Saccharomyces cerevisiae S288C: one gene and its partner. Changing the gene in region 2 together with the main gene of any one other region gives a genetic interaction. Each region holds a gene or a part of one and is shown on either strand. Other genes may lie near its edges.

Region 1 (7,159 bases), 410 kb from region 2:
CAAGGGAACATTATAGGGTGTTAAGAGTACTGAGTGAACATATAGAAAAGGTTACACGGTACAGTCACTGGAATCGAATGACGCTTTATAATTTGGCTTTAGTTTTTGCTCCAGGTTTGATTCGTGATTTCAGTGGAGAAAAGGATATTATTGATATGAAAGAAAGAAACTATATTGTCGCATTTATATTTGGGAACTACAAAGATATCCTGACGTAGCGCTATCCTCGGTTCTGCATTGAGCCGCCTTATATGAACTGTATCGAAACGTTATTTTTTTAATCGCAGACTTAAGCAGGTAATTATTCCTTGCTTCTTGTTACTGGATATGTATGTATGTATAATAAGTGATCTTATGTATGAAATTCTTAAAAAAGGACACCTGTAAGCGTTGATTTCTATGTATGAAGTCCACATTTGATGTAATCATAACAAAGCCTAAAAAATAGGTATATCATTTTATAATTATTTGCTGTACAAGTATATCAATAAACTTATATATTACTTGTTTTCTAGATAAGCTTCGTAACCGACAGTTTCTAACTTTTGTGCTTTGACAAGAACTTCTTCTTCTTGCTTTAATAAAAACTGTTCCATTTTCGTTGTATAACTTGAATCATAAGCGCCAAGCAGTCTGACAGCCAACAGCGCAGCGTTCGTACTATTATTAATAGCGACGGTAGCTACTGGAACACCTCTAGGCATTTGCACAATTGAATGTAAAGAATCTACTCCATCTAGACAAGAACCTTTTACGGGCACACCGATGACAGGAAGTGGTGTCATTGCAGCCACCATACCTGGCAAGTGAGCAGCCCCACCAGCTCCAGCGATAATTGTTTTAATTCCACGCTTGCTTGCGGAAATAGCATATGCTGACATCCTATGTGGAGTTCTATGAGCAGAGACTATTGTCACTTCAAATGGAACGCCAAAATCTTTTAAAACCGCACATGCGGCAGACATTACCGGCAAGTCAGAGTCTGATCCCATGATGATTCCAACCAATGGTTTGACCATTGCTTCCAAGTCCAACTTTTGAGCGACAGAGATTTTGATTGGAATATCAGTTCTACCTGTAATGTAGTTCAGCCTTTGTTCACATTCCGCCATACTGGAGGCAATAATATTTATGTGACCTACTTTTCTGTTAGGTCTAGACTCTTTTCCATATAAGTACACTGAGGAACCTGGAGTCGCCAATGCTCTTTCGCAAGTTTCTAGCTCTTTATCTTTTGTATGTTTGTCTCCAAGAACATTTAGCATAATGGCGTTCGTTGTAATGGTGGAGAAAGATGTGAAATTCTTTGGCATTGGCAAATCCAATATTGATCTCAAATGAGCTTCAAATTGAGAAGTGACGCAAGCATCAATGGTATAATGTCCAGAGTTGTGAGGCCTTGGGGCAATTTCGTTAATAAGCAATTCCCCTGTTTCTAAATAGAACATTTCCACACCAAATATACCACAACCGGGAAAAGATTTGATTGCATTTTCTGCCAACAACTTCGCCTTAAGTTGAACGGAGTCCGGAACTCTAGCAGGCGCATAACATAAGTCACAAATATTGTCCTTGTGGATAGTCTCTACAATTGGGTAAGAAAACACTAAACCGTTAACAGATCTCACAATCATGACTGCTAATTCTTTAGTAAATGGTGCCCATTTTTCGGCGTACAAAGGACGATCCTTCAGTACTTCCAAAGCTTCCGGAATCATTTCCTTATTCTTTACAACGAAGTTACCTCTTCCATCGTATGCCAAAGTCCTCGACTTCAAGACGAATGGAAAACCCAAATCTCTTCCAACATTCAATAGGGACGTCTCACTGGCTTGTTCCACAGGAACACTTTGGGTAACTGCTATACCATTTTTGATTAAATGCTCTTTTTGAATATATTTGTCTTGTATCAATCTGATTGTTTCTGGAGAAGGGTAAATTTTTAATTTGGGATGTTTTACTTGAAGATTCTTTAGTGTAGGAACATCAACATGCTCAATCTCAATCGTTAGCACATCACATTTTTCAGCTAGTTTTTCGATATCAAGAGGATTGGAAAAGGAGCCATTAACGTGGTCATTGGAGTTGCTTATTTGTTTGGCAGGAGAATTTTCAGCATCTAGTATTACCGTCTTAATGTTGAGCCTGTTTGCTGCCTCAACAATCATACGTCCCAATTGTCCCCCTCCTAATATACCAACTGTTCTAGAATCCATACTTGATTGTTTTGTCCGATTTTCTTGTTTTTCTTGATTGTTATAGTAGGATGTACTTAGAAGAGAGATCCAACGATTTTACGCACCAATTTATACATGAAATGCTCCATAATATTGTCCATTTAGTTCTTAATAAAAGGTCAGCAAGAGTCAATCACTTAGTATTACCCGGTTCGTAGCCATGCAACAAGAGTCATTTGTCAGCATAGCTGTAATAATCAATCATGACGTAAGAAATGTATCATAATTAAAAGTTGTTAAAGATGTCAGTGTTATGTTGGTGTTACAAAATTCTCGGCTTCTCACTAATATTTAATATCTCTTAAATTTTATCTGTCTTTGATTCTTTTAAGAAAAGTTATGTATTATTCAAGAAAAAGTCAATTCCGCATCAAAAGGTAAAATTTATATAAACTGCTTTAAAATTTCATGAAACTAGGCAACTTTTCGAAATGATCTTTTTCGAGCATGAAGTTTCTTTTATAATAACCTGGTCAAAAGCTTTCAATATATAATACATTTGGTATTTACGGAAATGAGATGATATACTGGTAGTGCGCTAGTCAAGTTCTAATTAAATTAAAATGCAAAATAGTAATGTCAGATGGACACATTGGGCGAAATAGCTAACCCATAAGCATGAATCCTGTAACTTATGTAATACGTTAATCACGATACGGCGTTACTAGTCTTCCTTTTGAGTGGTTTCTAATGTAGATTCTTGTTGTTCGTTAATTTGCTTCAAGCCGTTTAGCATTCCTGATTCGTTTGAAGATAGAGGAACAGATGCGCCAGCGAAAGATGATGATGCAATGGTAGAGGAAGTGTTGGTCGAATCTCCCTTTTTGGAAATAAAGTGTCGTTTTGATTCTAGATAGGCTTCTCGCAATTGATTGTGGAGATACTTCTTTAAAAGGGCCATACCTATGGGATGACATTCTAACCTATAGAGTAATTTCGTAATAGCATAGCAGATTTTTGACGCCCTTCTTTCTAGTAGAGGAGAAGCCCTTAGCTTGGGTGAGATGACTGAGGATGCGTTTGTAAATTCGGGATAATTGGAATTTCCAGTACCCTGCCCATTACCTCCCAGAATCCTTATATTAGGGCGTGTACTCAGTTGTAAAAACTGTCTCAATGAAGAAGATTGAGCAATTCTGGTCAAATACGTTCTTCTCCTGGACAGAGATTTTGTGAAGGGCAAATCCTGCCCACTTTCTTTTGTAATAAATGTGAGGAAAAACGCCAAGATATCAAAACTGTAAATTTGAGTAAAAAGATCTATTGCTGATACTATAACACCGTGGGGATCTTTTTCGATGCCCATATAGCTGTTAAAATTATCGAAACCCTGACGCACTTCGCTTTCAAAACTCCACCTAGAAATATTATCACCGTGTAACTGAGCTGTGGGTAATATTTTGAACGGAGAATAGTTCAAACAAGCGTTTAAAAACTTCTCAATGTTTGTCCTGCTTACCGATACCATGCGAAACAGCTCTTTAACAATGTCCAATATTTGGCTTAATTGGGAATATATTTGCTCTGTGGAAAATAACTGGCATGTGTTTCCTAAGCTAAATAAACAATTATCCAAGTTAGACAATAGTTCAATACTATGCAGTGTAAAATAATCAAAGAACTCCGGGAAAATGAAAAAATCTTTATAAAACATGATATATTCATCTTTTAGTGCTATATTAGGTGGAATTTCTCGTCTTTTCAAAGCGTCCAGAAGGTTTTCCAACTGAAGAACATTCAGCCTTCTCAAAACGCTCATGATAGTATCACTATCATGATATTCGTCGATAAGAAGAGAAAAGAGCTTCTGGCCCAAGTTTACCTGACTTTCGTTGACTGCGTTGGTTGAGAAATGAGGCCTATTGAATATCTTTCTCAAAGGGTTAGGCCCAATCTTCACTTCTGCCACTGTATCTGGCTTTTCTTTTTCTGGACTATTATTTTCATAAAACACTCCCTCATCCACATCGTAGTAATAATCCCAGATATCTAACTGGTATCGGAAAATTGGATTGGCAGTTCCGATAATTGCAAAGCATCCGACAAAATCACTATTCGATGCTACATACGCCCGCAAACCGTCAACAAGAGAAATGTCCATATAGGGAAAAATCAACGCAGCATTTCCTTTGAAGTATGATTGTGGATCGCTAGCATAAGTTGCCGTTATGTTGGCTAATGACAAAATAAAAGCGCATAGGTCTTCTTTACTCAGTTTAGTTGAATTGATGACTAACTTCCATGCATTAACTTTTTGTCCGGCTTTAAGAAGGTAAGGGACAAATTTATCCAAAAATTTTAAAACTAGTTCATTATAATCATTTTCAATATAAATAGGCTCTCTTCTAATCATATTAAATTGCAATGGGATTTTTAACAAAAATGGCGGGAGCGTCTTTGGCTGAAATCTTGTAAAATGATATTGAATGAGTTGGTCATGAAAAGTCACAATGTTACCATACTTGTCCTTAGTGTCAAATCCATTGATGCAAAAGAGTTTCTTTAAAGTGGAATCCGGGTCTAAAAATACTTTGGTAATGATAGATTCGTCATGGATAGAGTGTAGCACTTCTTGTATACTACTTTTGGAATGTATGTCATTAATCAATGTAAGGTCAATACTGTTTAGCATATTAAAGCAATCAAGCAGTATGTCTGTAGCAGCAGCTTGAGTGGGAGCTTTCATATACAAGTCTAACACTAATACAATAATATTTTTGAATGCAAAGAAGGTTTTTAATGGTGTTCCGATGGCAATCGACTTGATTACTGCCCCTCTATCGTTCGTGGTGTCTAATACTGTGTTGGCGACATTTATGAAAAATAAAGGTTCGTTGTCGATGGCTTTCTGATTATTCTGAACTTCCTGGCATTCGAGCTCATCATCTTCCAAGACAATAGTGTATCTATTATTTTTTGCATCTTGATGATTTTCGGCATCGTAATATATGCTATTGGTAACACTACCATCTGACTGTTCACGATGATGCAGATTGAAACTGAAACGAGGGTCTTTTGGCACAGGAAAGAGTTGATAGTTTTGAGTAAACTTATTGTAATAAAGGGTAAACACTGTAATATCTTGTTTGCCGGGATTTCTCTCTATGCTACTCGGTATCATTAAACTTGCCAAGTTCATAGACACCGACGTATTGCCGTTGCGTTGCTCATGTGAGAACTGATTGAAACCTGGAATATCTTTCGGGTATTGGTGCTTCAAAATAGGACCTAATTTATTATCAAATTCTGCGGATATTATATAGCTGACATTCGGCCTTTCAAAAGGAAAGGATTCATTTTCTATCGACCTGTTGCTGATAGAGTTATTTAGTTCTCTTCGCAACATCCGGTAGCCAAAAATGTTTGCGTACCAAAGACTCTAACAGTGGGCGGTACTATGCTTGATCTTGATTTTATAGAGCTTGCACTTTTATAGAAGAACCATTGCTACCTAGACAGTTTTTTTTGTTTACATTCGAATCATTTTTTTTTTTGCATTTAGTTAAATCCGAAGTCCTGACTAGATAATTTACTGTCAGAGAATAGTAGCATCTATGCAAGAAACTGGTATACAATAGTCGAGAGGTTGTTGTAAAAAACACAAAATACTAACACAAAGCCTGGCTGTTGAGATTGTGCGACATTCTTGATCAGTAAATGGTATTACAGACTGTCTATCAATGTTACATACTTGCTTATTACACGATTTATTGTATTTAAAGTGCAGAAAGAGTCTCAAAGATGTAAAAAACTGCAGCGTTTGCTGGTACTGCCCTAAAAAGGGTTATACCCAGTCCTCGATAAAAACCCTTTAGTCCAAATTTGCCAAATATCTTCTTCACCGCATTGGTGAGGCTTATATGTTCAGTTTGCATTACTGATTTCACAGTATCCGCAGGAAAAATACTGGCGTTGAATGCCAATCCAGCGCTCCCTCCACTAATAAGTAGTTCCCATATCTTACTTTCATCTCTTTTTGGGTCATCAAGGGAGTGCCTATCTTTCAACGACTTCTTAACTATTTCGTAGGTTGCAAACCAGGCAACACCACCGAAGCTTTCTCGAATAAAAGTGCCCGATTGCCCTTGCCACAATCCTGCCAATCCTCTCTCAGTTATAATTGCTTTTATTGTAGGCAACACCTTTGTATGTTTCGTTTTAGCTGATGCAACTTGTAAGTTCGCAACCTGCAACTTACACTTCACCAGCTCCACGGGTGTCAAAACTAAACTAGCACATGAACCCGCTACTCCACCAGAGATCAGGATTTGCCCCAACGGGGAAACGTTTGTATGTTTTTCTAAAAATTTAGAACATTGGTTATAAGACACAAATAATGTCGCGTTCTCCAGACATGCTCCAACTAAAGGTGAAGCAATGCCTTGAAAAAACCCTCGTGCTATTCCTTCATTTTGGTAAGTAAATTTTATACAAGACCATGTTGTTGGGAACACGTTGGATGCTTGTGTTTGCAACCTGACTTTCACAGTATCGAAAGGAAACTCGATCACCTTACCACAGGCGCCTGCAATGGAACCGTTTATTATATCGAGTATAGCGCCTTCTATTAATCCTTTCTTTTTACTGTCCTCCATTATACGTTGACCTTCCAGAATTTGAGTTCCCTATAGGTTAAAGAAAAGTTTCTACGACAAAGCATCTACGCTTTAACAATTAACTATACCCGTGCTTCGATAATTTCACACTTTTCTGAATCTATCGACGCCAGGAGCAGAGAACTTATCATTGGCGATTCTTGACGCTGCGGCCACAGCGGCCACAGCGGAAAACGTATATGTCACATTTTTCGAGCTCAAGGTGAGTCACGATGCAGAACTGGAACGTACTAGGACTAAGTTGCAACGATGAAACTACAATGCTACGCTTTCTTCGTGCTAAGTACTCATTGTATCCATTAATAT
Region 2 (5,741 bases):
AGAATCAAATATTGACGTAGAATCGTTCAAAGCATGATAACGTTGCAAAACGTATTTCAAAAAGTGGCTGTAGAACACAATCAAAGTGTTCCATTTGACATTGTCAAACAGTAACTGCTCATCATTTTCTCCCACTAATCGATCATAAGATTTTTTTAGGATATCGATGATCTCTTTTACCTCACCTTTCTTTTTTAGATCGTTCATATTATCCACAACGTAAAAGAAGAGAACAAACATAGCAGTAGAGAACTGATACATAACCTCGTTATACATATGCGCCTGGTAATTGATGCCTTGAAACAGCTGTAACATTTCTTTACTGGCGTTTAAGTATTGACTTGAAAAAAGAATGAATAGCTGAGGAATATCATGGCGAGAACCTTTGTATAGGCGTTCGTTATCAATCAATAAGGATGTAGTCATCATGCTCAAAATCACTTTAGAATATAGCGCCCTAAAATGACAATTCAAAACACGAGAGCATGCAATCTCAAAACTTAAAGCCGGATTTTCTTGGGATTTTTGAGCGTAAAGTACCGATAAATACTGTTTATAACTTTTTAGTTTCATACTTACGTGCAAGTTGTCTCTCCAATTGTTCAAAGAATCATTGAGATCTTTGATTTTATCAAGCATGGCATCGAATGAAAGATCTAGAGTACTTCTGACAGCAAAACAAGTAGAGTATATTTTACTCTCAATACTAACCAATTTTGAAACATAATATGATATGAAAAGGGATATGTGCTGACAAAAATTTACAACTACATTCAATGCAGAGTTGACATCAGTAATTTTATCGAGATCTTCCTTTTTATCAATAAGATCAGGTAGAATATTAGTTTTTATCACTTCATAATAATTTTGATCTGTTAGCATATCCATATCGCGTTCCCCCACAATAGGGGGTCTGGATAACATTAAAGAATATAGTTTATCTGTACAAAAACAATGCCACCACATTCTTCTTCTCCTTATGGCTTCTTCAAAGTCTAGTGACTTGTAAGAGGATTTTCTATTTAATTCCATGTCAACCGCCAATCTAATCGCGGTTCCTAAAATACAATTTGCTAGTTCAGTATCGTAGGTAAGTTGAAAATATCGGTTCAGTAGTAATAAAGCTTGTAGTGTTCTTGTACCTGAACAGATGGTGGACAGCTTATGATAATAATACATGGCATTTAGTAAGGCAACGTTTTCGATTTTTTTTAACTCTTGGGAGGTTGGATCATATCTATCTTTCCTTAGAAACTTTGAATCACCTCTTATAATTGATTGAGTGGCAGATGCACCCGAGCAGAGACACACGTTTAATAATAAATGTTCAGGATATGTGAGTTTTTCGCCGCTTTCGCTGTAGTACTTTTCTGCTAAGTCTAGACATTCTTTTAACGATATTATACCAGTTACAGAGGATAATAAGGTAGCATGAAAATTCTCAAGAAGTCTCTTTGCTTGCTTTTTCGGAGGTAATGAGTATAATATTATTTCGCTGGAGAAGAAAGCCGGAGATGACAAATCCATAAATTTTTTCATTTGAGTTGCATACCATTTTAAAGATATGCTTAATATTTCGCTGATTGGAGAAAGAAACTCCTCATTGGACGCTTTCACTCCTAAACTTTGTTTGAACCAATAGAGTTTTTGAGCAGTTAAAAGTGCCGTAGAGTATATTTTTCTCGCTGGTTTGGGCAAATTGTTCTTTTCCTTGTATTTGCCTTCCTGCTTTTTAACAGCCTTGTCCAATAACCACTCAAGTCTAGCCACACTGTCAATAATGTAAGACATTTTTCTATCCAATTTTTCAATCTTTGAATTCATTTTTTTGTTAAGATTATTTTGAATATTGGAGACTTTATCGATGATATTGCTTTCTAAGGGGGAATTACCGTTTAAAAGTTCAAACCTTCCACTGTTCGGTACTGAAGAAGACGCTACAGGATTGCTAATACTATTTGAGGTTTGAAGTGATTCCCCTGGTGTTGCATGATGTTTGATTTCTAATTTTCTTTTCTTCTTAAGAATCTCATCACGATGTTTGAAAGTGCAAGGCAACTGAAACTTAATACAGTTTGAACATTTTTTGGTCTGCTGGTCCACTTCATCACATCTGATTTTTCTTTTTCGGCAATGGTCACAGGCCTTTGATACACGTTTCTTGAGATTTTTACCAGAGCCGCTCATATCATTACTGTTAGTGTGTTCCATCATCGTGCTGATGTCACGGTTCTGTTGTGTCTGAAATTGCGACTGATGCTCTGTTGGCGAGTATATTGTATTGGGATAAGCCACATTCATGGGGATATTTGGACCTATTGTACTACCTGTCATAAGGGTGTTTTCTCTGTTAGGCATCGTCATCAGTTGATCTGGCACAGGCATCGACCATATTTGAGTTTCAGGAACCAGACGTGGGGTACCAGTTTGATGGTTTACATTTGAAATGTCACTTCTACCGGTGATTTCATTGTTAAAAACCGCATTCATATTGCTTGCTGAGTTTGAAAACCCATTTGGGCTGTAATCTCCACCTTGATTTTCCATTATTTCAAACCGAAGATTTGGAGTGGAGAGTGCTGATTTCCTAAGTTGAATTAAAGTACGATAATAAGCTCCCTAAGACATTTATTCTTTTTTCGAATTAAAGGCTTTTTATATAAAGCCATCTTTCATGTACGTAATTGGAGATTATACCAAAACCAAACAGGGTAAGAGATGTTTCTCTAATGAATAAAATAACAGTGTTACCTTAGCACAAGCCAATATTCAAAACACATGTGGTAGACCTTCTGTAATATTTATGTATATCTCCATAATCTTTCACCTACACAATCTCACTTATATTGCGGCTAACGTACATTGTTAAATATATATGTATCTGTGTATTTGTTGTACCTCAGGGTGAGGGTCCCGCTTCCGTCTGTAGTCGGTATTCGTAAAGTAAAAGACAGAGCGAAGCTTATGTTCAAAGCTCGTCATGACTACTGGTATCTTCTAACTGGTCTTCTATGTGTGATAATAGGCTCAATTGTAGACGAATGATTTTCAGTTTTTCTTTAACTTCTTTACTCAAGTCATCTCCATTTTGCTTAATTAAAGCTTCTAGTCTTCGCCTTTCCTTTTCCAGCCCATTCACGTCACCGTATAATTTAGATAAAGTATCAGAGTAGTATTCTTTACCAGCTTTACACAGAAGCTGTTGAGAACGTAATTCTTCATTGCAATTCCTAGAATCATCGAAAATATGTTCTATGAATCTTTCTTCTGTATCTTTACTTCTTACAGTATCGATAAAGTTGCTTAAACTCTTTAGGTTCCTACTCCCTTCAAAACGAACAACCCTAGACGTATCCAGTTGGTACTTAGGATTGTTGAACCACGTCTTGATTCTTTGCCATAGTCTTTCATGAAATTTCATAGACGACCAATCGAGCTTCGGAAGAACTAAGGGCTTAGTACGAGGTTTGACCAGTTCAATTATTGGAAATCCAGGCAAGTCGGTACATAAAGTTGGCCCGAAGAATTCACAGTTAACTTCAAGGAAGTTAATTGGGGTATCATCTTTATTAGCTTTTTTGGCGTATAGCTCACCAAGCTCTTCGTATACTGGGGCCAGAGTTTTACAATGTTGGCACCAAGAAGTGTAGTATTTTATCATTGTGTAAGAATCATTCCTATTGCAGATATCGAAGTACTGCTCAATCGACTTGACCATCGTGACAGCTTCACTGTAGGCCAACGCTGGTAAAATGACGACGCATGTTGATAATACGGAAAATAAAAAGCCGTGCAATTTCATCTCCTTTGTGTTTTACTTTGCCGACGTACTTGCACTAGACTCGCTGTGTTTTTTTTCTGTTGTTTTGTTGTTATGCTGTTCTTTAGCTCAAAAAATTGGCCACTGTTCCCCGCTCTGTAAATTAATTGCTCTTAAAGAAACAAAAATGATTAAAAAAAATTAGAAATATTTGAGATAATAAGAACATCATTCAGGTCGCCCATATTCACAATTATTTACAGACTGTATTTTAATGAAGAATGTGTGCATAACTTGATGGTACCTATTCAATATAAAATTTGATAAATAAATAATATTATAAAAATGTCTATGTAATTATTATAAAGCTCTAGAGTATGTATGAGTTGTTACACATAGCATTCCAATGAGTACTTGCTTTTTTCTTCGTTCTTTAGACATTTCAGAAGAATATTCTTTATCTTGTCATTGTTACTGCAACTACTATTATAGTATTATTAGTATTATTGTTGGTATTGTTACTATATATTTACGCTTAAAAACTCCAAATTCAGACCCCAAAATATAATTTAAATAAACATTATCATTTCCCCTCATTCCCGTTGACCTCATGAACTAGCGGTGAATTATGTACTTTTCTTCTGTATTCTAGAACTATGTCACCCTGAGATTTCCAGTAAAGTGTTCTAACGGTATTTAAAGTCATATCGTTATCAAGCACTTGGCCCCTACATAGTAGATCCAACCAAAGACTAGGTTCCATTTTTGCTTTCATTTCAGGAGTTTTCGTTTCAAATCTGTCAGCGACGTAAAGTTTAATTTTTTTCACCCTAATCATTCCAGGCGCAACCAGCTTGACATTCGCCTCAGAGATTCTCGGTAAATCTGTGGGGTTTAACTCCTGCTCGCTGGTCTTCGGACGGCCAAACTTTAGCATATTATGGAACTGTTGCTGTGTTGATGGGGAAACGGCTTCATTACCATTTCCAAGGCTGCTATCGCTACTATCGTTGCCAGAAGATTCTGTGGTATCTGATGCACTAATAAACTTCTTCTTGTTTTCATTGCCAGCTGCCTCACTCCCACCAACAGAAGACCATGGCATGATTAAGAAGTTCAACTTTGGTTGCTCTTCCACCGTCTTAATATCTCTAAATAAAGCTTTTGCAAACCAGTAGGGCAAATTTTCCTCCAATTGCTCAAAAATTTGCCTTCTGTTGAGTCTGCTTCCTAACTCGCCATCAATAAGATCATATTTTCCTAATTTGTCATCATCTACAGCTTGAAGGTCTACTTCTTCATCATCTGGCGGTTTGGAATTTTCTTTGCCGCCGCTGACGGTTTCATTATCGACATGAGATGGCGGTAATAGGGTGGAAAATAATACCCTGCCACCACATGAGCCTTCCTTCCAAAGATGGACCAAAACTAACGTGGCAGATTTTACTCTAATAATTGGACATGAACTAGCCTTGATTATCTTGGTGACTGGAAGCCTCTTCGTCAGGTATTTTAGAGAAGAAGTATTCATATATTGTTGCTTGTAAGACTCTTGAATTTGCTCCAGTAAATCGGGCATGAACTCAGGCTTCTTCTTTTCGTTGCCTTCCAAGGTTGACGTGGAATTCGCCCTTGAGTTTTCAGATGATCTTAGTTTGTTATGAGTGTTGTTACTCGGTAAATCTTGTGATGAAATAGCGGATAGTTTTTGCTCTAGCTTGAAAGGATGATTCCATAACATAGATTCTGGAGTTGCATCCTTAGACTGCTGAGTTGTATTGATAGCTTGAGGGAAGGCCGAGTCATCATTAATAACGTGCGGAGTATCTGGCAGAATTCCTTTGGGCTCCTCTGGAGTGTTTAACCCTGTTGTGGCACGACCAGAAGTAGACCTAAATGATTTGAACTTTCTACTTAACAAGGAGCCAGAGCTCTGCGTTCTAAAATATGGCTTTTTGGATGCAGGCAATGGTTGCACGAG

What was found.
Region 1: mutations in MPD2 (region 2) and ADE2 together harm fitness more than expected from each alone (negative genetic interaction), as found in Saccharomyces cerevisiae (one large-scale study listed by BioGRID).

What each region holds. Positions count from the first base shown.
Region 1 is NC_001147.6:563,976-571,134, forward strand, and holds ADE2 (phosphoribosylaminoimidazole carboxylase ADE2), read right to left. Parts: upstream 2,217-7,159; coding exon 501-2,216; downstream 1-500. Other genes in the region: GTPase-activating protein RGA1, read left to right, coding at 1-218; AFI1 (Afi1p), read right to left, coding at 2,902-5,583; ORT1 (Ort1p), read right to left, coding at 5,954-6,832.
Region 2 is NC_001147.6:150,944-156,684, forward strand, and holds MPD2 (protein disulfide isomerase MPD2), read right to left. Parts: upstream 3,803-5,741; coding exon 2,969-3,802; downstream 1-2,968. Other genes in the region: HAL9 (Hal9p), read right to left, coding at 1-2,547; DUF1 (Duf1p), read right to left, coding at 4,344-5,741.